Caenorhabditis elegans: one gene and its partners. The protein of the gene in region 1 binds, or shares a complex with, the protein of each later gene. Each region holds a gene or a part of one and is shown in the gene's direction. Other genes may lie near its edges.

Region 1 (9,439 bases):
GAAAGAAAAATGTGTTATTTTAAAATTAAATTTGTATTATTTTCAAACCACCGAAACACTTTTTATTTGCATACCTGGTTATTGATAACTCCAGAATTTCTATAATTGCTGTCATCAAAGCGTTCGCGTTTGATTGGTGGTCTAAAAAATTATTTTATTTTTACATTGAAGCCAGAATTTTACAAATTTTTACCCTCTGTTAACAGGTGCCTTTCGTTTCCTCTTCTTCTGAGCAGCGACATTTCCTTTGGCTCGTTCGAGACATCGGAATTCTAGAACAATTGGATAGATCTTTGAGAGTACTTCGAGAACATCGGCTTCCGATTGAGCTCCAGTGACTGTAATTGAGCCAGTCGTATGAATTCGAAGAGTAGCTTTTGGTGTCACAGATCTCCAAACAAGACCAACGGAAAGTTCAGGCTCATATGTGGATTCTGATGGATATTTTGCTGCGACTTCTTCGATTTTGATTCCGAATGGAAGACGGCACGTGGCCAGAACGTTGTTCACCTAAATTCCACATAAACTTAATAATTAGATAAATATTTTAAAGTTGCAAAATTTTATGGTATTGACAAACACACAAAAACGGTATCGCGCGTGGTGTCAGAATGTCCCATCACAGTCTGATCTACAAAAAATGAAACGTGACGTAGAGTTTCCAACTGGTGTCGCACGGTTAAGAATGTGCTGACGTCACACTTTTCTGAGCAAAAATACCCGCACTTATTGTAGATCACACCGTGATGGGACAACCTGACTCTACGTGGTATCGTAATTTTTTTTTTCAAATTTTGAAATGGCTCTTTAAAGGCTCACGACTTTCTTCAGATGGGTCTCGACGCGCAAAAAGTTTATTGTAGTCTTTTTCTTCAATGTTTGCGTTTTTCAATGAAACTGCACGGTTTTCAGCTTTAAAAAAAAATTCTGTTAAAAAATCTGTTTCCAAATGGGGGCACCACGGTTTCAAGATCTGGTGGATTCCGGTTCTACGTTTTCCAGATCTGGCACCAAAACGTAGATCCGGAACCCCACCAGATCTTGAAACCGTGGTGCCTCTCCAAATGTTCAAACTTCAAAAAAAAAAGAAAGATTACCATAAACATTTTGCGTGCCGAGACCTTTCTGAATAAATCCGTGCGCCTTTAAAAAGGCATGTAAAAATCTGGTGAAACTACGATACACGGTCAAATAATTTTAGTACACTAGTTTGCACGACTGACATTTTTACACTTTTCTTCAATTTAATTTAAATTTACAAGTAATAACTTTAACAAAAATGAAACATCTTTAAAAGAAAAAAAAACAAATCGGAAATGGCGGAAGCTACTGTACTTCTTGAAGGCGAACTTTTTTTAAATATTTTTTTTTTAATAGATAAATTTTTTTAATAGATAAATTGAAACTTTTCAAAACTTGCTCGATAATTTCTAATCGAAACTCGTTCTTTCGTTTTTCCCATAACTCGCTGAACATGTCTGGCAATTGAACGTGCAGCTCGTTTACAATCCGCCTCACTCCGGCAACCAACAATATATACTTTTCCAGAACTATATACTTTGATATAACAACCAGGCGATCTTTTTTGTTTCATCATTACTCCTTTTTCTCTTTCATATGTCACGTTATGAGTGTTCATTGCCAATTTTCGAAGATCAATGTGCAAAGGGAGTGTATAATTACAAACAACATTTCGAATCTGGAATATTTTCAAGTTTTGATGATTGATTGCTGTTAGAAAGTACCTGAATATCGATATCACCATCATCTGGCATTGGTTCCTCATTGGCAGCCGATGTACCTTCTGGAGGAACATCTGGAACCTCAATTTTGACAGGAATCTGAAAAATGTAGATATGAAACATGAAAATGTACATTCATCTGTTACCGGCTCAGGTGAGGGTTCTCTCAGTGGCACTGCCAAATTCATGTCACGCGGCACATAAATCTGCGGATGTGGCTGCTGAGCATGGTGTTGGGCCATCTGATGACGTGTCATTTGTGGTTGAACCATTTGATGTTGCTGATTATGGTGCATTTGTGGTTGACGATGTTGCATAATCATTTGATTTTGTTGAGAAGGATGATTAAAATGTTGTGGTTGCTGGTGGTGTTGTTGTTGATTCTGTAATATCCTCTGATTAATTTTGGTGAATATATCTGAACCAGCCGTGGACCGCACCTACGGCGCGGCCCCCGACTTTTTTGAGAAAACACATTAGATATACGGTGTCTATCGCGGACCTCGATCGATGTCTGTTGCGCATTTAGCATAAGGTTTCCCAAAATTTCGTTGCTCTGATCAGAGATCAAACTACATAGGGACAGAAGGACACGCGCTTTATATATAGTAAATGATAGTAAATGATAATCATGAAACATACCTGTTGTTGTTGTCGATGTTGTGCTTGCGCATAGCTTATCTGTTGTTGTCCTTGCTGATTTTGTGCCATAAATACAGCTCGATTTTGTTGTTGAATTTGATTTGCTACTTGCTGTCCTGGAATTAAATTTAAAACTCTTTTCAGTTTTTCAAACAAGAATGTCTTATACAACACGTAATGTGAGACCCAACACACGAGTTTGAAATTTTCCAGAATTATTTTGATTGTTTTCGATTTTTTTTTGTTTGCAAAAACAGTGAAAATTTAATCAATATTTAATTTTTCCTTTTGGAAAATATGTGAAACTTCAATCGTTCAAAAATCAGAAATCGAGTTATTCGAAATGTAAATGTAGAGTTAATTTGTGTCTAGAATATTATTCCAATAAAACAATTAATTATTGCAGAAACATATACGCGATTCTAGATATACGTAGTACTTGTATTCTATTGATAAAACACACGGCATCCGGAGACCGTAAATAAATTGAAATAAAACCGATTTAAAAAAAAAAATATTTTGTTTTGAATAACATCAATTAAATATTGACTATCAATTTTCTAAATAAAATTAAAAACTTACTCTGATAACCTTGTTGAACGTTATGTCCTTGCACAGGTCGCATTTGAACACCAACTGCAACATTTCGACCCGCTATCGTTCCCTGCAATTTCTTTTGAAAAATTAAAATAGTTTCGTGAATTTGAAATTTTGTTTCAATTCTTAGAATTTGTTATGTTGATTGAGAAACTGATAATAAAGACTTACTGGATGTCCAAAGTTTACTTGCATTGGTTGACCACCAGGAACTTGGCGAACATAGGCAGGACCGACACCATTTTGCTGAATCTGACGTACTCCCGGGGGTAGTTGAACTATCTGAAATAAACTTTAATTCATAAATTCAAGCATATGTCTTGTCTCGAACAAAATTTGATTATATTCTTCAAAATCTCACCCTCTGCTGTCCGTTTCCGTCGTGATGAACCGTTCGAATTCCTGCCGTTTGCACATACGTGGCATTTTGTGATACTGCACCACCAGCTTGTGCAGGCATCACTTTTTGAACGTAAGTTCTGTAATATCTTTCGAGTGTTGTTATTGGATTTCTTGATCCAAATAACTAAAACTGAACAAGCTATTTTTTAATTCAACTCATACCTCTGGTTTCCCATCATTTGATGATCACCCATTTGCATTTGAACTGATCGGCCTGTAAATTTGAGTTGTTATCTTTTGAAAACTCGACAAATGCTAAAATCTGCAACAACGAGAGAGCGAGACTTCGTGAGAACATAAGAATTTTTTGATTTATGTTAGAAAATTCTGGAAAAGTTAAGAAATATTTATTTCCGACGACCAGTTTATTTTAAATTCAGACAAAATAATATCCAAAATACAATATTCGGTTTGTTCATTCTAAACTGATTTGAGGCAAACGCGGTTACAGGATCGATTGAAAGCGTTATTCGCTGCCAAACCAGAGTATCCTCTCTGAATGTGCATTCCTCCTAGTTATTTGTCTGTTAGACATGTGGCATTTATTGATTAGTTAATTTATTGATTTTTCAGTCTTAACGCTGTGTTCTTTGGGAAGAAGAAGTGACGTTCGGCGAGAATTTGCCACAAGAAAAAGTGCTAGAAAACGAAGACCGACGAAGATGTCGTGATATTTGGTGTTTAGTACGTGGGTGCAGTGTTTGCGGACTTCCTTACCGTACACTTCAATTTTAATTTTCGTTTTTCTGGACATCGATTTTCCTGGCATAAAGACTGAGTAGTATTCGCTGTAGTAACTGAAAAATGACGTAAGTTGGAAATTTGCACTATAAATAAATCAGAAAATCCCTATTGCAGATTAATGATTGATGAAAACTTCAAAAAACAATTGGCACAGCGTCGAGAGAGAGTAGAAGACCTTTTCTACTTTGAAAATTCAAAAGAAATCGGCAGAGGAACATATGGATTAGTTTATAAAGCAGTTCCGAAAAAGCAAAATGGACAATTTCCTAACAAAGAATACGCATTAAAAATGATTGAGGGACAAGGATTTTCAATGTCTGCATGCAGAGAAATTGCTCTATTCAGAGAATTAAGGTAATTTCACCGATTAAATAATATTAATTTAAAATGAAGATTGAATTCGAGATTTTCCCCTTTTTATAATCTAAAATTCGAAAAAAAAACTGAAGTAGATATTCAAAAAAAAAAAATGTTTCAGGCATCCGAATTTAATCTGTCTTCAACGTGTATTTCTTACCAACGAAAAAAAAGTCTGGCTTTTATTGGATTATGCTGAACACGATCTCTGGCACGTTATCAAACATCATCGAACAGCTAAAAGCAAGAAAGTCCCAATTATGGTGCCACGGAATATGGTCAAAAATATATTGTTTCAAATTTTATCAGGTTTGAAATTCTAAAATCCAATTTCACTCAACTGTATTTTAAAATATTCAGGAATGCATTATTTACATTCAAACTGGGTACTACATCGAGATCTCAAACCAGCAAATATTCTATTAATGGGTGATGGACCACCTGACATGAGAGGAAGGTTTGACTGAATTTGAAATTTATGCGATAATATGAAATAATAATTCTAGGGTAAAAATTGCTGATTTGGGATTTTCAAGAATCTATGCAAATCCTCTGAAACCGATGGCTGAATTAGATCCAGTAGTTGTCACATTCTGGTACAGAGCACCTGAATTGCTTCTCGGAGCAAAGCATTATACAAAGGTACGTTGAAAAATCTATTTAATAAGGAAAAAATGCATAATCTCAGGCTATTGACGTATGGGCTATCGGATGCATTTTTGCCGAACTTCTTACCGCTGAACCATTATTTTTCTGTAAAGAGGAAGACATCAAGGCACAAAATCCATATCACTATGATCAAGTGAAAAGGTACAGATTTTTTGGAAATTAAAATCATTAACTATTCGAAATTTTTAAAGAATATTCCATCTACTCGGATACCCATCAGATGCTGATTGGCCTGATATGAAGAAAATGCCGGATCATCAAAGACTTCTAAGCGATGCTAGAAATGAAGGGTAAATTATAATATAAAAGTTTTCAAATTTATTTTGATAGATTACTTAAAGGCACATTATTTTTTTCAGTAGCGTGAATGGCTTCAATGAAACCGAATTAGTCTCAAATTAGGAAATACCACAAAAAAAGGAAAAAAAAATCGCGAAAGAATTAAAAATCCAAGATTAAAAAACGAGTCGCTGATTGGTCGCAGTTCTCATTTAGGTGGCAATTCAAACAATTGAAAATCGCGATTTCAAAAGTTGGTTTTTCATTCTTGCGATTTTTTCCATTTTTTGTGGCATTTCCGAATTTGAGAGAATTTCGGATGTGTGAATTTGTATTGCAATATATAACGGCTTTAAAAAAGTTTTACATAATTATAAATAAACAATTTTCAGAACACCAATTCAAACATTTCCAAACAGCTTGCATCGATACTTTGATAAATGGAAAATCAATTCACAAAGCTCTCCATATAGATTACTTGTCAAATTGCTCACAGTTGACCCTACAAAACGTGTCAGTTGTGAAGAAGCGATGAATGATATTTATTTTAGAGTTCGTTTGAAATTTAATTTGAATAATATTTGAAAAAACCATTTGCAGAAAATGGAAAGACCACCAAGGGAGACTGACGACGTGTTCAATAAATATCCAATTCCATACGCGAAGAAGGAACAGCAGATGACGGTAAGGGCATCAATTGTTGAATACACTGCAAATGTTCCCAAGATTCTTTTACAGGTTGCACCAGATCAAGCACAACAACAGCATCAACAACAACAAGTTCAAATGCAACAACAACCACAAATGGGACAGCAACAAATGATGGGACAACCTCAAATGGTACAACCTCAGATGGGACAACCACCAATGGGTGGAGCACATCCCGGAGTTGTTGCTCCAGATGGACATCCACATCAAATGATGCAGCAACAACAGCATCCACAACAGCATCATGTCAGTTTTCTAAATATTCAGAATGAAAAGTTAACTTTTTCTGTTCAGATGCAATATCAAGGAATGCATGATCCAATGCAAGGTGGAATGGATGAAGGACCACAAGCAAAAATGATGAGAATGGGAAATGTTCCTGTTGGAAGAGTAAGCTTTTTAATTAGAAAATAATAATAAAAAACATAACATGGCTGAATATCATAATTAAGGATTTCAAATTTTCAAAGTTTTTGTAAATTTCCAAATTTCGCAAATTTTGATAGATTGATTGTTGAATTTGCAAATTTTTGTAAAATGATTTATAATTTTTTTGTTGGTAAATTGCCAAACTTTCAAAAATTGAAATTTCTTGAAATATTCGTTAATCGTTGCAAAATAGTAGATAGAAACTAATTTTGATAATTTTTGGTTTATTTCCAAATCATGGTAGATGAAGTAATTTTCACTTTTTACTGTAGGTAAAACTATTTTGAAAAATTGTTGAAAAGCGTTACTAGGATATTGGGTCATTTTAAGATCATAGGAGTGATTTTCATCATTTTTCCCTATGGCAATACTCCACTTTTCAAATTCTTATGTTCAATTCTACAATTGCAGTATGCACCGATGCCTCCTCCATACGGTGCTCCACAAGACTATCACCCGCAACAAGGTCCACCAATGGTGCAAATGATGCAACAACCGGGACCATCCGGCTACTATCCACAACGACCAGGACAACCAACAGGAGCAGTTCCTGGACCAGGACCTCAAGGATATATGAATCCACAAATGGGAATGCAAATGGGCATGCGTGCTCCAGGAGTTCCACCACAAGGATATATGCCTGGTCGTGGAATGGCTCCCCCTCAAATGGGACAACAGCAACCCGGTCCAAATCAACAGCAACAACAGCAATGGCAACAACAATATCATCGATAAACATTTCATTTGTAACATGTATGTATCTATAGTACTCACATCAAACTAATATTGCTCGTCATGTGTAATTTGAAGGCTTTGTAAATTGTATTTTTTTGAAATACGTTCACAATAAAATTGAGAAAATACGTGGCAGTTATCAAAATCAAATTCGGAAAGATTTTTTTGGTTTAATTCAAAATAGAAAACAAAGCAAAATGAGTGAATGAAGCCGTTTTTCAGGGGGGGTTCGAGATTTTTTCATCGTAAGGTTGGGGTATAATCATTTAAAACAATTTTAAAATTGAAATTCTATATTGGAAGTCGTTCATTTTTTGAAGTCGGATGTGATTCGATGCAAGCGGAGAATTCGGTCACCGTGATACTTGGACATGTTCTGCAAACATTTTAATTTTAAGATTTTAAAGCTGTTTGGAAATAATATTTCTTTTTCTCTGATGGTCTCACAACGATCGTTTGAACACTTCAATTTAAATAAAAAACGAACCTCAACACACAATACCACTAATTTATTTTCACATTTTTCGGATCCACTTGATTGGAAAATGCTTGTATTCGATGAGATGTGACCTGCCAAAGAAGTCAGAGATGCTGCAATAAATTATATTCTAAAAATTGTCTTCAATTTCTCAAAAATTACAATCGGCTCTTCTCCATCCATCACAGTATTGTTCAGCTCTTATTCCACCATCTTTGGATCCATGCCAAACTCGCTTATCTGGCCTGAAATTAAGGAACTTGTTGAGTCTGAATTTGTTTGTTATTATGAGTTTGACATTATTCTGATTTTTGATACCGTATTCCTTCTACCACCATATATTCTCTATTAGAACCCAATTACTTGACTTTAATTAATTATATCTGGGTTCATTTGGAAGATATTAACAGATAATCATCTGCAAAGATGTAGAAAAATAATTAAGAAATATTTTGACAGTGACAACCTTTGAATTGAACAAACGACAACTGAAAGTTGAACAATTGGGTGCAACAGTAAAAGAGATTATACTGTAGTCTTGCATATTACTCCTTTGGAAACTTTTATCTCGGTGAATTTCACAGATATTAAACAAATAGTTACAACTACAAAACTATAGAGGAAAAAATAACAAAAATTTTATCAGCTGATTAAAAAAAAACAAAATAAAGAAAACGGTTAGTTCATTTTTTATTGATAAAAATTAACAGCTTTCAATCAACATCTACAGCTCTGAATTTTGAAATTATCTTACTTATACTTCCGACCAATTTCTACAATTATCTACTGTAAATTGACAACATTTCGATGTCACTAATAAGCTTAAAAGAAAAATAAAGATAGGCCCTACACGTTTCCGTTCTGTTTTAACTTGTGTCAACAAAACTCTGTTGGTACTAAAAGTTATTCCAACTGACCATCTAGAATCGTTGAGCACATCATGTCTATCGAATGAGAAAAGTTTGGCATGAGGATTCATTTGTGCTCCATTGACAAATGATCTCCAACTTGGGAACAAATGATGTCCAGCAACATTCACAACAGTTGTGTCAAAATCAACGGAATGCACAATTCTAACCAAATCCTGTACATTACTCGAAAGCATTGCACGGAATGTTGTAGTATATCCAGCTGCACGAGCTTCACGATAACATTGAAGATCTGCTCCTCGGAGCCCGTGAAGATTACCAGAGAATGGTTGTGACAGGGCAATCATATGAATCTGAAAATACTTTGAAAAATAAATTCTTATAGAAATTCAGAATACTAACAACTCGATCTTTATTATGAACTCCCGCATCTCTCTGTGGTTCATCAAGATTTGCTTTTGGGTACCATGGAGCAGCTGCTGATCCAGTTCTTGATCTTCCCGCGTGACTTGCATCGTTTTGTCGAGAGTTTTGCTGTAAAAGTTGTAACTAAAAAGTAGTATAGAATACATATATTTGTGCTGCACAGCTGCTTCACAGGACTTTTACAAAAACCTATTGAAACTATTGAAAACCTAGGTAAAATGAAAGAAATATGTGATAAGTGATAAGGGAGAATGGGGGCTAAACTAAATGACTAAAGGATGTGAATAGCTGATGTTGTAGTGGTGATTCCTATTTGTAGCAACATGACTAATATCCAAAAGTTACATTTGAATTACGCGGGT
Region 2 (5,257 bases), 260 kb from region 1:
TTTAAAATATTGAGACACGTGTTATGATTTTTTGTTTCTCGTTTCCGCCGATATGTCCCTTGAATGTAACCTTTCAGTAATTAAACAAACCTAGAAAACCACGGTATGTCGGATTTGGTAATGTTTGAGCCAGGAGCAAGTACGAGTACGGATGTGCCCACAAATACGGATCAAACTGCAATGGTATGGCTTTTATAACTTGGGTTGTATAATGTATCTAAAATTGTTTCAGTCGACAACACAAGTGGTTGATGCACTCGAATGTGACACTTTCGAAGGGCTCATGAATGTCAATGAAACTTATGTGGAAATCTTGGATTCGGCTCTTCTTTCTGTTCAGCAACATTTAGACGACAATTTAAAGCGACAACAACAATTGAAGGAGGAATATCGTTTGTACAATCGTGCTGACATTACAAAACGCAAAGTTCCCGTTCACTTGTATATGCCACCATATTTTAAAGATGATAATAACATGTACCCACCAATGAGCTCAGAGGCTCGCGAAAAGCAAGTCTTAAAATGGTTCGACCCAATGATGAAAGAGGAGAAAAAATGGACACCATCTGAAATAAAAACACTCCGGACATCTGTTAAAAACGCATTGGTGGCTCATCAGGTTCAACCGTGGTGTTCTAGACGAGATATCGTTGCCTCAAAACTTCGAGACGCTGATATCACTACATCGAATTTCGATCGACGTCAATGGACTATGGAGCTGGAAGATTTGATGAGAAAAATTGCCTATGTTCGAGAAAAAAGTGAAGAAGAAGTATTGACTGCTTCGGCTGATTATACCGTTGTTCCATGGACTGCAATAGCCAACTTCGACGTATGTTTAAACTTTCATTAATTCAAAAACTTCCTGTTTGTGAAGTTTAATTAAATAAAACTATTATTTCAGTTCAAAGGCTCTAGAACGGAATGGGCGGTGAAATCGAAATGGTACAATGAATTGAATCCAAAGTGGAACAAAGAACATTGGTCAAATGAAGAAGTAGAAAAGCTGAAATACCTTCGAGAAAGTCCAAAGTTTGTCTCCTGGCCGATGCTGGCTCTGAATCTCGGTACAAATCGAACATCTTATCAATGTATGGAAAAGTACAAAACCGAAGTGTCTCAACATTCAAAGTGAGAAGCTCGTTTTCAAAATGTGTGTAATTTTGAATATTTCAGAGAATGGTCTCAAGACGAAGACACCAAGTTAATTGCGCTCACAAAAATTACATCGATCAACGGACATATTCAATGGGATAAAGTTGCACAATGTATGCCTGGAAGAACTCGTCAACAAGTCAGAACTAGATTCTCGCATACTCTCGATGCATCGGTTAAGCATGGAAGATGGACTGATCAAGAAGATGTGGTATGTATAATTAATGTAAATTAGCAGTAAAAACATCATTCCACGATTATTGTGTGTTGGAAATTTAAAACATTCATATTTAGATTTAAATTTTAAGCAATTAACAAACATATCGTTTAGCTTCTTGTCTGTGCAGTTTCACGATATGGAGCAAAAGATTGGGCAAAAGTTGCTCAGGCGGTGCAAAATCGTAACGATTCTCAATGCCGCGAACGCTGGACGAATGTGTTGAATCGTTCAGCTCATGTCAACGAACGGTTCACGCTGGTTGAAGACGAACAACTTTTGTATGCGGTAAAAGTATTTGGAAAAGGAAATTGGGCTAAATGTCAGATGCTCTTGCCAAAAAAGACATCGAGACAGTTGAGAAGACGATATTTGCAGTTAATTGCAGCCAAGTTGAGAGTGAGTTTTTTGGTTTTATTGTGAAAAATCTTTTTAAAAATTCACTTAAATAAAAGCAATGATTAATAAAAATTTCAGTTGGCTGCCGGATTCTGCAACGCGGTCGATGCCATGAAATCCGGAAGACGTGCTCCTGAAGAGGACGAGCTGGAGCAAGAAGATATTGTGGAAGCGGAGCAGATTCCAAATGAACTCATGAAAGAAGTTTATGAGAAATTCGCCAACGAAAATCCGGATATGAATGAGACTCCCGAAGAATTTTACAAACGTGTATCTGCCTTGGAGAGACCAGTAAGATCAAAAATAAATTTTTTAAAACTCATATTTTTATTATTACTATTATTATTATTATTATTGCAGGCCGCCGCTAGAATTCGAGCTCTGAAGAATAAGCCGGATTATCAAAAAATCCAAGATAAAATCAACGAAATTGTTCAAAAGCACAAAAATGCAGCCGAAATCGACAAAGAACTACACTCCAGTGAAATTCTCTCATCGCTCACAATCACGGAAGTGTTAGTTGAAAACCAAAAAAAAAACACCATATTTTAATTACATTTTGTTTTTCAGTGATGTTCGTTACATGATAGAAAGAAGCAAGACTTTGACGCGTTACTACGAGGCTCGACAGTTTAGAAAGGTAAATTAATTGTACAGAATATTAACCCATTGAAAAATGTTCAGAACGTGGATCAAATCGGATGTCGTGTTCGTCCGATTAAGATCGATTTGGATCCAGAAACAATGCCAACATTTGATCCAAATGATGCTGAAGATGAAAAGCAAATGGTCATTGTGGAGTCGTTGTGCTCTGTAATTCGTGCTCACGACGTAAAAGAATGGGGCACTAAGTTTTGGAATGAACATCGCTTCACAGCGCCGAAATACGCTAAAAGATTTGTGGAGAATGTGAGTCAGAATAGAGAAAATAAAGTTTAATGAAAATTCACATTAAAATTCTCACAGATGGTCATAAACAAGTCAAAAGAAGTCGCTGAATGGTATTTACATGTTAACTCAAAGTCATGCAATCAAAATGATGTACATTGCCCAGCCAAGTCAACTCTTCCTCCGACTGCTGCATCATTCGATCTTCACAAAATGCTTCAAAAAGCCCGTTCTGGATTGAATCGTCTTTCTGCTGAACACTTTTACCCTCTTGATGTCTCTCTGGCTCAACAATTCAACTTCAAAAACGACGAGAGAGAGGGCCTCGACGGAGACAGACGTATGCATATCGGGTTGTCTGATGAGGTCACCAATAGTAAAGAGTATGCGAATTTTTATGTAAGTGAATATATTATATTCTTATTTTTATTTTTGATAATTTTTCAGGCTCGAATGCGTTCGATTCTTCTCGAACCAATGCGTCTTGGAATTGCTCGTGAATCGTCGTCTGATGAAACCAAGCGGCTTGTGCGCTGTCTTGCAGAGGAACGCGCCTGCGATGAAGAACAACAAGTTACCTGTGACCAAATAAGACGACGCCGGATGCCTGATGACGAGATCTATGTTACTCCAACTTCAATCTCTAGAGAACTAAATGTAAAGTTTTTTGCGTTGTCTCCACTGCTAGACGTTGTTTTTTTTCAGAACGGCATGAAAATCGATACCACCGAGTTGTTGGCTAATCTGGACAAGAATTCTGCGAAGAAAATCAGAATGAAAAGGAAGATTGGAGAGGTGAGATGTGACACTAAAATTAAACTTTTACCCCTAGTAATCCTTGCGGTACTATTATCTATATTTTTCTCATAGTCCTCAATGAAACAGTATATTTTTCAGACCGTTGCGACAGTTGCAGCGCGTCCTGCTCGTCCACCGCGTTCATCTGCAGGTACACCCACTCCAAGTCACGTCTCGATCGATACGGAGAGTAATATTTCGCTCAAAGTGGAGTTAGATTGAATATTCTATTATTGAACAATATAACTATTTTACCCAACTCTATGTCATCCTCTCCTGTGCAGTTTTACATCACTTTTTTAAACTGAACCCATTAAAAGTTGATCTCCTAAGATTATTTCACTTTTGTTTTATTAACAATCTCAGCTCTTTATGAACACCATCTGTTAAATTTGTTTTTCTTTTTCTAATAAAATGGTTTTATAGGCATGGGTCGTTTTAGTTTCAATCGATACGGTATGTTTCCATTGGAATAATATATTTAACTCATTTCGTAGTACGGATTTCACCGTATAGGTGAAAAAAGGTCATAATATCAAAATTTTGTAAATTTCTGTAATTTTTCGAAGCTTGAATTCCATTTTTTTTTCTTCAGGCTACAATACAATGCAGATGGAGAGTGTAGAAAGTGAAAAGACGAGATTTGAAGTTGAATGTGAATTCGTGCAGGCTCTTGCAAATCCAAATTATCTTAATTGTGAGTTTATTCACATACACTAGCCGAGAATAGAGAAAAACGTATTTTTATTCTAAGTTTCTTGTTTTTTTATGCACTCTTTTTCCTGCAAATTTCATATTTTCCAGTTCTCGCGCAACGTGGTTATTTCAAAGAAGAATATTTTGTCAACTATCTCAAATATCTTCTCTATTGGAAAGATCCTCAATATGCCAGATGCTTGAAATTTCCTCAATGTCTGCACATGCTTGAAGCACTGCAGAGTCAGCAATTTCGCGATTCGATGGCTTACGGTAGTTCAAATTTTATTTAATCTATCAGAAGAATAGTAACTTATTTTCAGGACCAAGCGCGAAATTCGTAGAAGATCAAGTGGTTCTCCAATGGCAGTTTTATCTTCGGAAACGGCATCGTTTGTGTATGATGCCTGATGAGGGACAAGAGCTTGAAGAATCTGAAGATGAAGCTGATATTCGACAAAAGGACACAGAGGATGAAGATGATGAGGAAACGATGAAGAAACCGGATGCTGACACAGCCGAAAAGAATTCCACAACTTCTACCGTTTCAAAGAAAGAAAAATAAACATAAAAAATGTAAATCAAATAAAACTTCATCACCACTTTATTGAAATTGAAACCTACATTTTACAGAACCGTGAATTTTTTCGAAGCCTGGACAGAAATCAGAGAATATTTGGAAAGTTAGGTTAAGATTTTACTTTCTATTCGAAAATCTTGTATTGGGAACAATTGTAACGTCGTTGACAAATGTCTGATTACGGAAAGCTGTTGTCTCGAGTAGAGTAGAGTCGTCGTTGCTGCATATCTCTTTCTTCTTCCGGCTTGTAGCAGCACGGAATTCAGTTGTAGAAGTGAAAAAATTGATGAAGAAACTACGATAAGAAGCAGCGAACAGATCACGGTCCTCGGGCTTGATAGCGGGGAATCCAACTGGAACAGCACGAAGAACTTCTTCATCGGAAAATTGGAAAGATGTGAAGTCATGACCATCGATTAGTTGATGCTGTCCTGTGCGAACTTCTAGCCTAAATAATTTCAAATGTAATACCATTTCATCTGTATTCAAATTAACAATCGAAGTCTGGTTCGCATGGTTTCTTC
Region 3 (6,467 bases), 5.9 Mb from region 1:
AGAACAAATCATGGAAAACATTTTGCCAGTTGATTTTTTTCTGTGAAAATTAAGAATAACCGAGATATAAGCTGTCGAACCGGTAGATGCACCATGTTCCTCGTTTTTCCCCATTCTACTTTGGCCGCTTATATCTTGGTTCATTAATAAGATATCTATAAATTTTAAACTGTAAAACTGTAAAATAAAACATGAGAAACATTTTGTCAGTTGATACTTTTTTGTGAAAATCAAAAATGACCGAGATATAAGCTGTCGAACCGGTCGATGCACCATGTTCCTCGTTCTACTTTAGCAGCTTATATTTTGGTTCTAAAACATTTTTTTAGTTAAAAACTTTAGGTTAAGATCAAAAGTAGCCAAGAAATAAGCCGCTGAAGTTTCGAGCAAGGCAATTTTTATAAGAAATTGCAGTAAATACCTTTTGGCTGGTTTTTGAAAAAAAAAAGTCGAAACACCATGTCTCTAATTTGAATTTACCGACTCTTGGCTACTATCTTGGATAATTTTTGTAATCATATCAATAAATTTTGAATTTCAACTTGTAGAAAAAATATATGACAATTAATTTTTAAATGTATTTATTATACGTATTTTTTATAAAGCCACAGTCAACATTTTTTGTCAATTTCCGTCAATTTGTAGTCTCGTAGTGTGTTCAAACCGTCTTCTCATCAAAAATTTGTGATTCTTAATCAATCGTTTCCCGTCTGATTACACCTTCTTCTCATCCTTTTTTCTATCATTCTTCTGTTTTTCTTTACCCATTACCTTATGATCTCCATTATTGTTCAATGGTCACTTTTTCGATTCAATCGCTTCCAAATCAAAATCTACTTTCAAAATTCCAGATGTTCAATCATCTCATATTAATTTTCTCATGCCACGTGGCACTGCTAACAGCAGCTCCATCCGCCAGAATGTGCGCCTCGTTCGCGAAATTCGCCGAACGATGGAATCCGCTTCCGGAGACACTGCTCTCGTGGTCCAAGAACAATTGTGACAAGGTTCAGCCAAGACCAAGGGATATGTCATGTGAAGATGTTGTACAGGTAGGTGGAGATTCGGAAAGGTCACGCCCATTTTTCTGTGCCCTGTAGGGCTGTACAACCGGACGTCCGGTCGTCCGAACCGGACGCACATGCGTCCGGTTGGGGGTAGCTATCCACGACGGCCGACAATTTCCGAGTTTCGCCACTCACTATAAAATTGCTGATTAAGTATAGTGAGTGGCGAAACTCGGAAATTGTCGGCCGCCGTGGAAACCTACCCCAAAACCGGACGCAGTGCGTCCGGTGGTGTCAAAATCGGACGACCGGACGCCGATTTGTACAGCCCTAGTGTCCTGAAGGCGAGCGGTCTGCTCCACGTTGTGCTCCGAATCGGGGAATCTTGATCGGGAGAATCTAAATCTGCCCATAGAACCTTGAACGTTGCGGAAAATTCAATTTTTGCCACGAGTCACACAAATATGGGAAATCTGAATTTTTGAGCTCAGATGGGCACAGTTTTGTGGGCGTGGTATTTACAGGGAACTCAGATATATGGGGAGCCAAGATCGTGTAAATTTACAAGGTGGATCTCCGTAAATCTACACAATTTTGGCTCTTCCCGCGCCACGCCCCTTGGGTCCCGATATGTATGCGTCTCTTCAACAGACAACTCTCTGCGGCTTTGTAATATTAGTTAGTCGCAATAACTTGCAATTTTTGTACCGAAAATACGGTACCCGGTCTCGACACAATCTACTTTTGTTGCTAAATTTCCAGCGATTTTTTTTTCGATAAAAATATATTATGAAAACTCTTAAACTTTGAAAAATCGTGAGAAAATCTATGGGAAATCGGTGAAACTACAGTAATCTTTAAAGGCGCACAGTTCATTTCCATTTAACCAATAATTCACGTGGTGTCAGGCTGTCCCATGACGGTTTGATCTACAAAAAATGCTGGAATTTTTCTCTCAGCACACTCTTAACTATGCGAAATTAGTTTAAAAGTCTGCGTCTCTTCTCCCGCATTTGGGGCACTTTGACACCACGTGATAATTGTCGTGTCAAGACTAAGTTATAATTCGCTGCGAGACTCGAAAAATGATGTGCAACCTTCCCAACTTTCAGTTCGTCGCGGACTGCAATTTCAGCGGCGGAGGCCCCGGGCCGGGAAAACTGGCGGACACCACCAACCGCCAGGTCGCCGACACATTCTACCAGAGGACCTACGAAAACTCGCCGAGAGTCCTGCCAAAGTATATCTACTATAATGAGAATACCGCCAGAGACTACGGGCAGTTCGGTAACTGGTACTACCCGAATTACTATCCACCAACTTATCTCGGATTCTTCGACGGACGGCCGGCAAGTATGGCACAGCTTGAGAATGATTATAAATTTGCAAAAGGTGGACATTATCCATATAACAGGTAAATTTAAATTTTTTTAAAATTAATAATAAAACTTGTTTTTTTTCAGAGCCGATAATATTGTGAACATTGGGCTTCAACAGACATATCTTCCAACTTGCCTTCACGACTTGTTCTACTGTGTTCGCGCCAGCAATGGGCAGAGACCCCAGGCGTATTTGGTAGGTGGCCTAGGACTCAAAAAAAACTAGGCCATCGATTTTTCGAATTTTTAAAGAAAAAAACCATGTATTTTTAGTTGAAAATCTCCTTTTTTTAATCTTTTCCACGGATTTCTGGCTTCCCTCATAAATTGAAATGGAAGAGTTTGCCGAACTAGGTCATTTAGGCTCGGCCATATCTGGCATAGATTTACGGAGCGTTGCGTGTCGCGTCGCGGCTCGATTTTAGTTGTAAAACTAAATGTATTTGCCCGTGTGGAGTACTTTCCCACGTGTTTTCCGGCAGGCGATTGTCAATGGAGCGCGAAAAATTCAATGAGGAAGGCCAGAACCCCGTGCGCACGTTTAATTTTGCAACGCTCGCGCCAAGACCTTTCCTCTCAATTGAGCTCAAACAACGTTTTTTTTTAAAAATCACATTTCCTTCTCTTTTTCAGAACTACAAAGAATACCGCCGTGACCGTGACCAGGCTGCTGAACAAATGGCCCAACGGGATCAAGATATCAAGACTCTCCGCCGCCACCGCACCAGACACCACGAGGATGATGAATAAATTGATTTTGTTTGTAGATTATTAATGAAACATGATGTATTTTTGTTAATAAAATATAACTTGAAAATCGATTTTTTCTGCAGAAAACCGGTTTTAAACCCTGAGACGAATTATCTAAATTCAAACACCCGCCAATTGATGCCAGTGGCTGTGGCCTAAAATCCGCCTGCTAAACAACACGCGCCGCGTTATAACGGAGTGTCGTTCGCAGCAAAACAAAATATTTTTTGCACCGATTTTCTATTTTAAACTGCATTTTTAATGGGTTTCTCGTTAAAATTTCTCAATTTTTATATTATTAAACAGCAAATAATTAAATATTTATCGATTTTCAGGTAGCGAAACCTACCATGATAATTGAAGAGAGGAAAAATCATGAGTTAAACCTGGAGTCGATCGATCGAGATTTGCGAATGGAAAATGTCCGCCAAAGCGCAGAAAAGCTGGGATGGGAGCATTTTGCGAGATCTGTCAGGAGGAATTTGCTGGTAACTGCAATCTCCACCGTTTTTCATTGAAAAAAAAATCAAATTTTCAGGAGAAAAGGCAAACACTCGATGCACGAACCCGTCTCGACGTTCTTGGCTCTCTGGTTTTTATGAAAGAGCATTTACCAATTGATAATGATGCTACTATTGCTCGAAAAGTTCAACAATTATCTGAAGGCCTAGGGTGAGTGCTTTTTTAAATTTTTTTTAAATTAAAAATTTTATAAATAATTTTTTTTTCAGAGAACATTGCGTGTTTTCAACTCAAAATAGTGGATTTTCAATCAGAAATCCTGATGTAACAATCGACATTGGTGTTGCAGAGGATCAAGTGCGTTGAATACGGGATTTTACCAAAACAATAAAGCTATCTTTCAGATTAGTACCTGCAAAATCGGTTATTTCGGTCAACCGCTCACTGATGCTCCAGGAGCTCTAGCTCTAATGAAAAATGGAGAATTCTCGAAGCTTCGCGATTCGATAACCGCGATTTTGTCCTCACTTCCGAAGGAAATTACATTGTAAAGCTAATAATATTTATTTTTCAGAGGAAAAGAAAACTAAAAATATGAAATAAAAGCGTAAAAACTAATGAGAGCGACAGCGAGAATAATCGAAGATCTGACATAATGCACCGGCTGGGAGATCTTATCCTGTGTGAGACGGATGAAGCTGATCAGCAGGGCTCCAAGGGCTACCTGGAACGATTTTTATTGAATCATTTAAGAATAAAAATCAATAATATATTACCGGCGGAAGGTTCTTGGCTTCTTCTTCCAAATCGATCGTCGGTATAGATTCCACAGAGGAGAACGTCCACAGCAGAAAACTCGTGTAGAGACCGCCGGCGACGATGGAGAGGGATGAGAGAGTGCGCCACGTGGCGTTCCGTGGAATTTGAATGATGGAGAGGATCGCCGGGACCAAGTAGACCGGCGTATAGGCCCACCAGGTCGGATTTCTCGAGATTTCGAGAAGGCCGTAAGCCAGAAGGCCCAAACCGAGAATTGATTCAGTGGCGCGGAGGAACATTCTAGAAAAAAACCATTTTTTGTGAAATTTTGATTTAAAGGTGGTGTAGTTGAGTTTTTTATTTCTTTATTAGACTCAAAATTGTCTGAAAACACCGAATTTGATAATGAAACTTCTTGAAAACTTTTCCAAAAAAAATTATGACGCTCAAAAAATGACCTAAAATTAGTGAAAATTTGAAGTTGACCAACTTATCATTGTCGCAGCGGCTGGAAACAATTTTTTTTTGAAATTGTCGTCTATTTTTGAGTAAACAAGTAGATTATCTTGCGTTTTAAGCTTTATTATGGTATTTAAAGTCGATGGACGAAGAGAATTGATTAAAAAAATTTGAAAAATCTCTTCGTCCATCGACTTTTAAATACCTTAATAAAACTGAAAACGCAAGATAATCTACTTGTTTACTCAAAAATAGACGACAGTTTCAAAAAAAAATTTGTTTCCAGCTGCTGCGACAAAGATATTTAAGTTGGTCAAATTTCAAATTTTCACTAATTTTAGGCCATTTTCGAGAGGCCATAACTTTTTTTTGAGAAGTTTTCAAGAAATTTCATTATGAAATTCGGTGTTTTCAGACAATTTTGAGTCTAATAAAGAAATTTTAAAAAATTCGACTACTCTACCTTTAAGTTATAGAAAATAGTTAAAAATATCTATTTTTCTATTCGATGTTCCTTTATATACAGCTATAAAAATTTTATATGAAACTTATTTAAAAATATAATATACAGGAAAATTTCCCTACAAAAACGAGAAAATAAAAAAATCAATGAAATTCAAACTATTTTAAAGCCAAAATTTCGATAAAAACGAGATTTTCTGTATTTTGAAGGTGGTTTTCAGAAAAAGAAAACGAATTTATGGATGAAAGTATGACCACTTCTGAATGTTTTTTTTTTTGTTGCAATAACTAGTTGTGAGAGACGCAGACGGACGAAGATATGTATGTTGTAGTTTTTGATAAGAGAGATGAAGGTCAAACAAGGGGAATATGATGATAATTACGATAAAACTGTTTTATTAGACTCAAAATGCGCGGGAACTTTGAAATTTCAGGGAAAAATTGCTGATTTTTGCTAGAATCTAGAATTTCACTGCAACTTTTTCCTCACGAGAGACGAGGAAAATTGGTTTCTAGGCCATGGCCGAGGGGCCGACAAGTTTCAGCGGCAATTTATCTTGCTTTGTTTTCCGCTTGTTTTCTTTTGTTTTTCACAGCCTTTTCCCGTTTTTTCTTATTAAAACTGATAAATAAATATTTTTTGCAGATGCCAAAACGATTTCCAAGTAAAAAAAAGTGTATTCAGTGGGCAAGCAGCGGTGAAAGTGGTCAATGGTCAAATATGATGGATTACGGGAATACAAAACCTAGACTTTTTCTGAAACATGATACATATGCTGCTTAAATGCTGAGACTACCTGATTTTCATAACGAGACCGCTGAAAAAGTTTTGAGGTTTCCAAAATTCAACTTTTTTGGTGAAAAAGTCGAGATTTTCGCACAAAAAGTTGAATTTTGAAAACCTCAAAACTTTTTCAGCGGTCTCGTTATGAAAATCAGGTAGTCTCAGCATTTAAGCAGCATATGTATCATGTTTCAGAAAAAGTTTAGGTTTTGTATTCCCGTAATCCATCATATTACAATGCCCACTTTCACAGCTGCTTGCCCACTGAATACATAATTTTTTCAGTTGGAAATTGTTTTAGCATCTGCAAAAAGTATTTATTTATCAGTTTTAATAAGAAAAAACGGGAAAAAGCTGTGAAAAACAAAAGAAAACAAGCGAAAAACAAAGCAAGATAAATGGCCG

Evidence for each region. The genes of interacting proteins can lie anywhere in the genome.
Region 2: cdk-8 (region 1) and mdt-31 share a complex: the UniProt entries of both Caenorhabditis elegans proteins name them as parts of the mediator complex.
Region 3: cdk-8 (region 1) and sop-3 share a complex: the UniProt entries of both Caenorhabditis elegans proteins name them as parts of the mediator complex.

Annotation. Positions count from the first base shown.
Region 1 is NC_003279.8:8,698,375-8,707,813, forward strand, and holds cdk-8 (Cyclin-dependent kinase 8), read left to right. Parts: upstream 1-4,091; 5' UTR 4,092-4,187; coding exon 4,188-4,192; intron 4,193-4,241; coding exon 4,242-4,481; intron 4,482-4,605; coding exon 4,606-4,793; intron 4,794-4,844; coding exon 4,845-4,941; intron 4,942-4,990; coding exon 4,991-5,126; intron 5,127-5,172; coding exon 5,173-5,294; intron 5,295-5,344; coding exon 5,345-5,443; intron 5,444-5,824; coding exon 5,825-5,984; intron 5,985-6,032; coding exon 6,033-6,116; intron 6,117-6,170; coding exon 6,171-6,386; intron 6,387-6,434; coding exon 6,435-6,530; intron 6,531-6,980; coding exon 6,981-7,304; 3' UTR 7,305-7,451; downstream 7,452-9,439. Other genes in the region: tlf-1 (TATA box-binding protein-like 1), read right to left, coding at 75-141, 194-510, 1,421-1,699, 1,746-1,841, 1,889-2,125, 2,385-2,500, 2,967-3,048, 3,153-3,263 and 2 more; cle-1 (Fibronectin type-III domain-containing protein), read right to left, coding at 7,612-7,680, 7,792-7,895, 7,945-8,027, 8,700-9,004, 9,054-9,185. UniProt on the Caenorhabditis elegans protein: Component of the Mediator complex, a coactivator involved in regulated gene transcription of nearly all RNA polymerase II-dependent genes.
Region 2 is NC_003279.8:8,962,245-8,967,501, forward strand, and holds mdt-31 (Mediator of RNA polymerase II transcription subunit 31), read left to right. Parts: upstream 1-3,869; 5' UTR 3,870-3,885; coding exon 3,886-3,913; intron 3,914-4,052; coding exon 4,053-4,154; intron 4,155-4,261; coding exon 4,262-4,426; intron 4,427-4,476; coding exon 4,477-4,718; 3' UTR 4,719-4,757; downstream 4,758-5,257. Other genes in the region: snpc-4 (snRNA-activating protein complex subunit 4 homolog), read left to right, coding at 106-183, 233-832, 905-1,131, 1,177-1,366, 1,487-1,771, 1,850-2,062, 2,132-2,286, 2,342-2,411 and 5 more; spd-2 (Spindle-defective protein 2), read right to left, coding at 4,851-5,181, 5,229-5,257. UniProt on the Caenorhabditis elegans protein: Component of the Mediator complex, a coactivator involved in the regulated transcription of nearly all RNA polymerase II-dependent genes.
Region 3 is NC_003279.8:2,773,102-2,779,568, reverse strand, and holds the start of sop-3 (Mediator of RNA polymerase II transcription subunit 1.1), read left to right. Parts: upstream 1-3,467; 5' UTR 3,468-3,486; coding exon 3,487-3,624; intron 3,625-3,674; coding exon 3,675-3,808; intron 3,809-3,867; coding exon 3,868-3,955; intron 3,956-4,002; coding exon 4,003-4,145; intron 4,146-4,147; exon of another isoform or gene 4,148-4,184; coding exon of another isoform or gene 4,185-4,322; intron 4,323-4,374; coding exon of another isoform or gene 4,375-4,656; exon of another isoform or gene 4,657-4,657; intron 4,658-6,467. Other genes in the region: Y71F9B.13 (NADH dehydrogenase [ubiquinone] 1 beta subcomplex subunit 7), read left to right, coding at 921-1,052, 2,120-2,421, 2,471-2,582, 3,020-3,136; Y71F9B.1 (uncharacterized protein), read right to left, coding at 4,185-4,322, 4,375-4,656. UniProt on the Caenorhabditis elegans protein: Component of the Mediator complex, a coactivator involved in the regulated transcription of nearly all RNA polymerase II-dependent genes.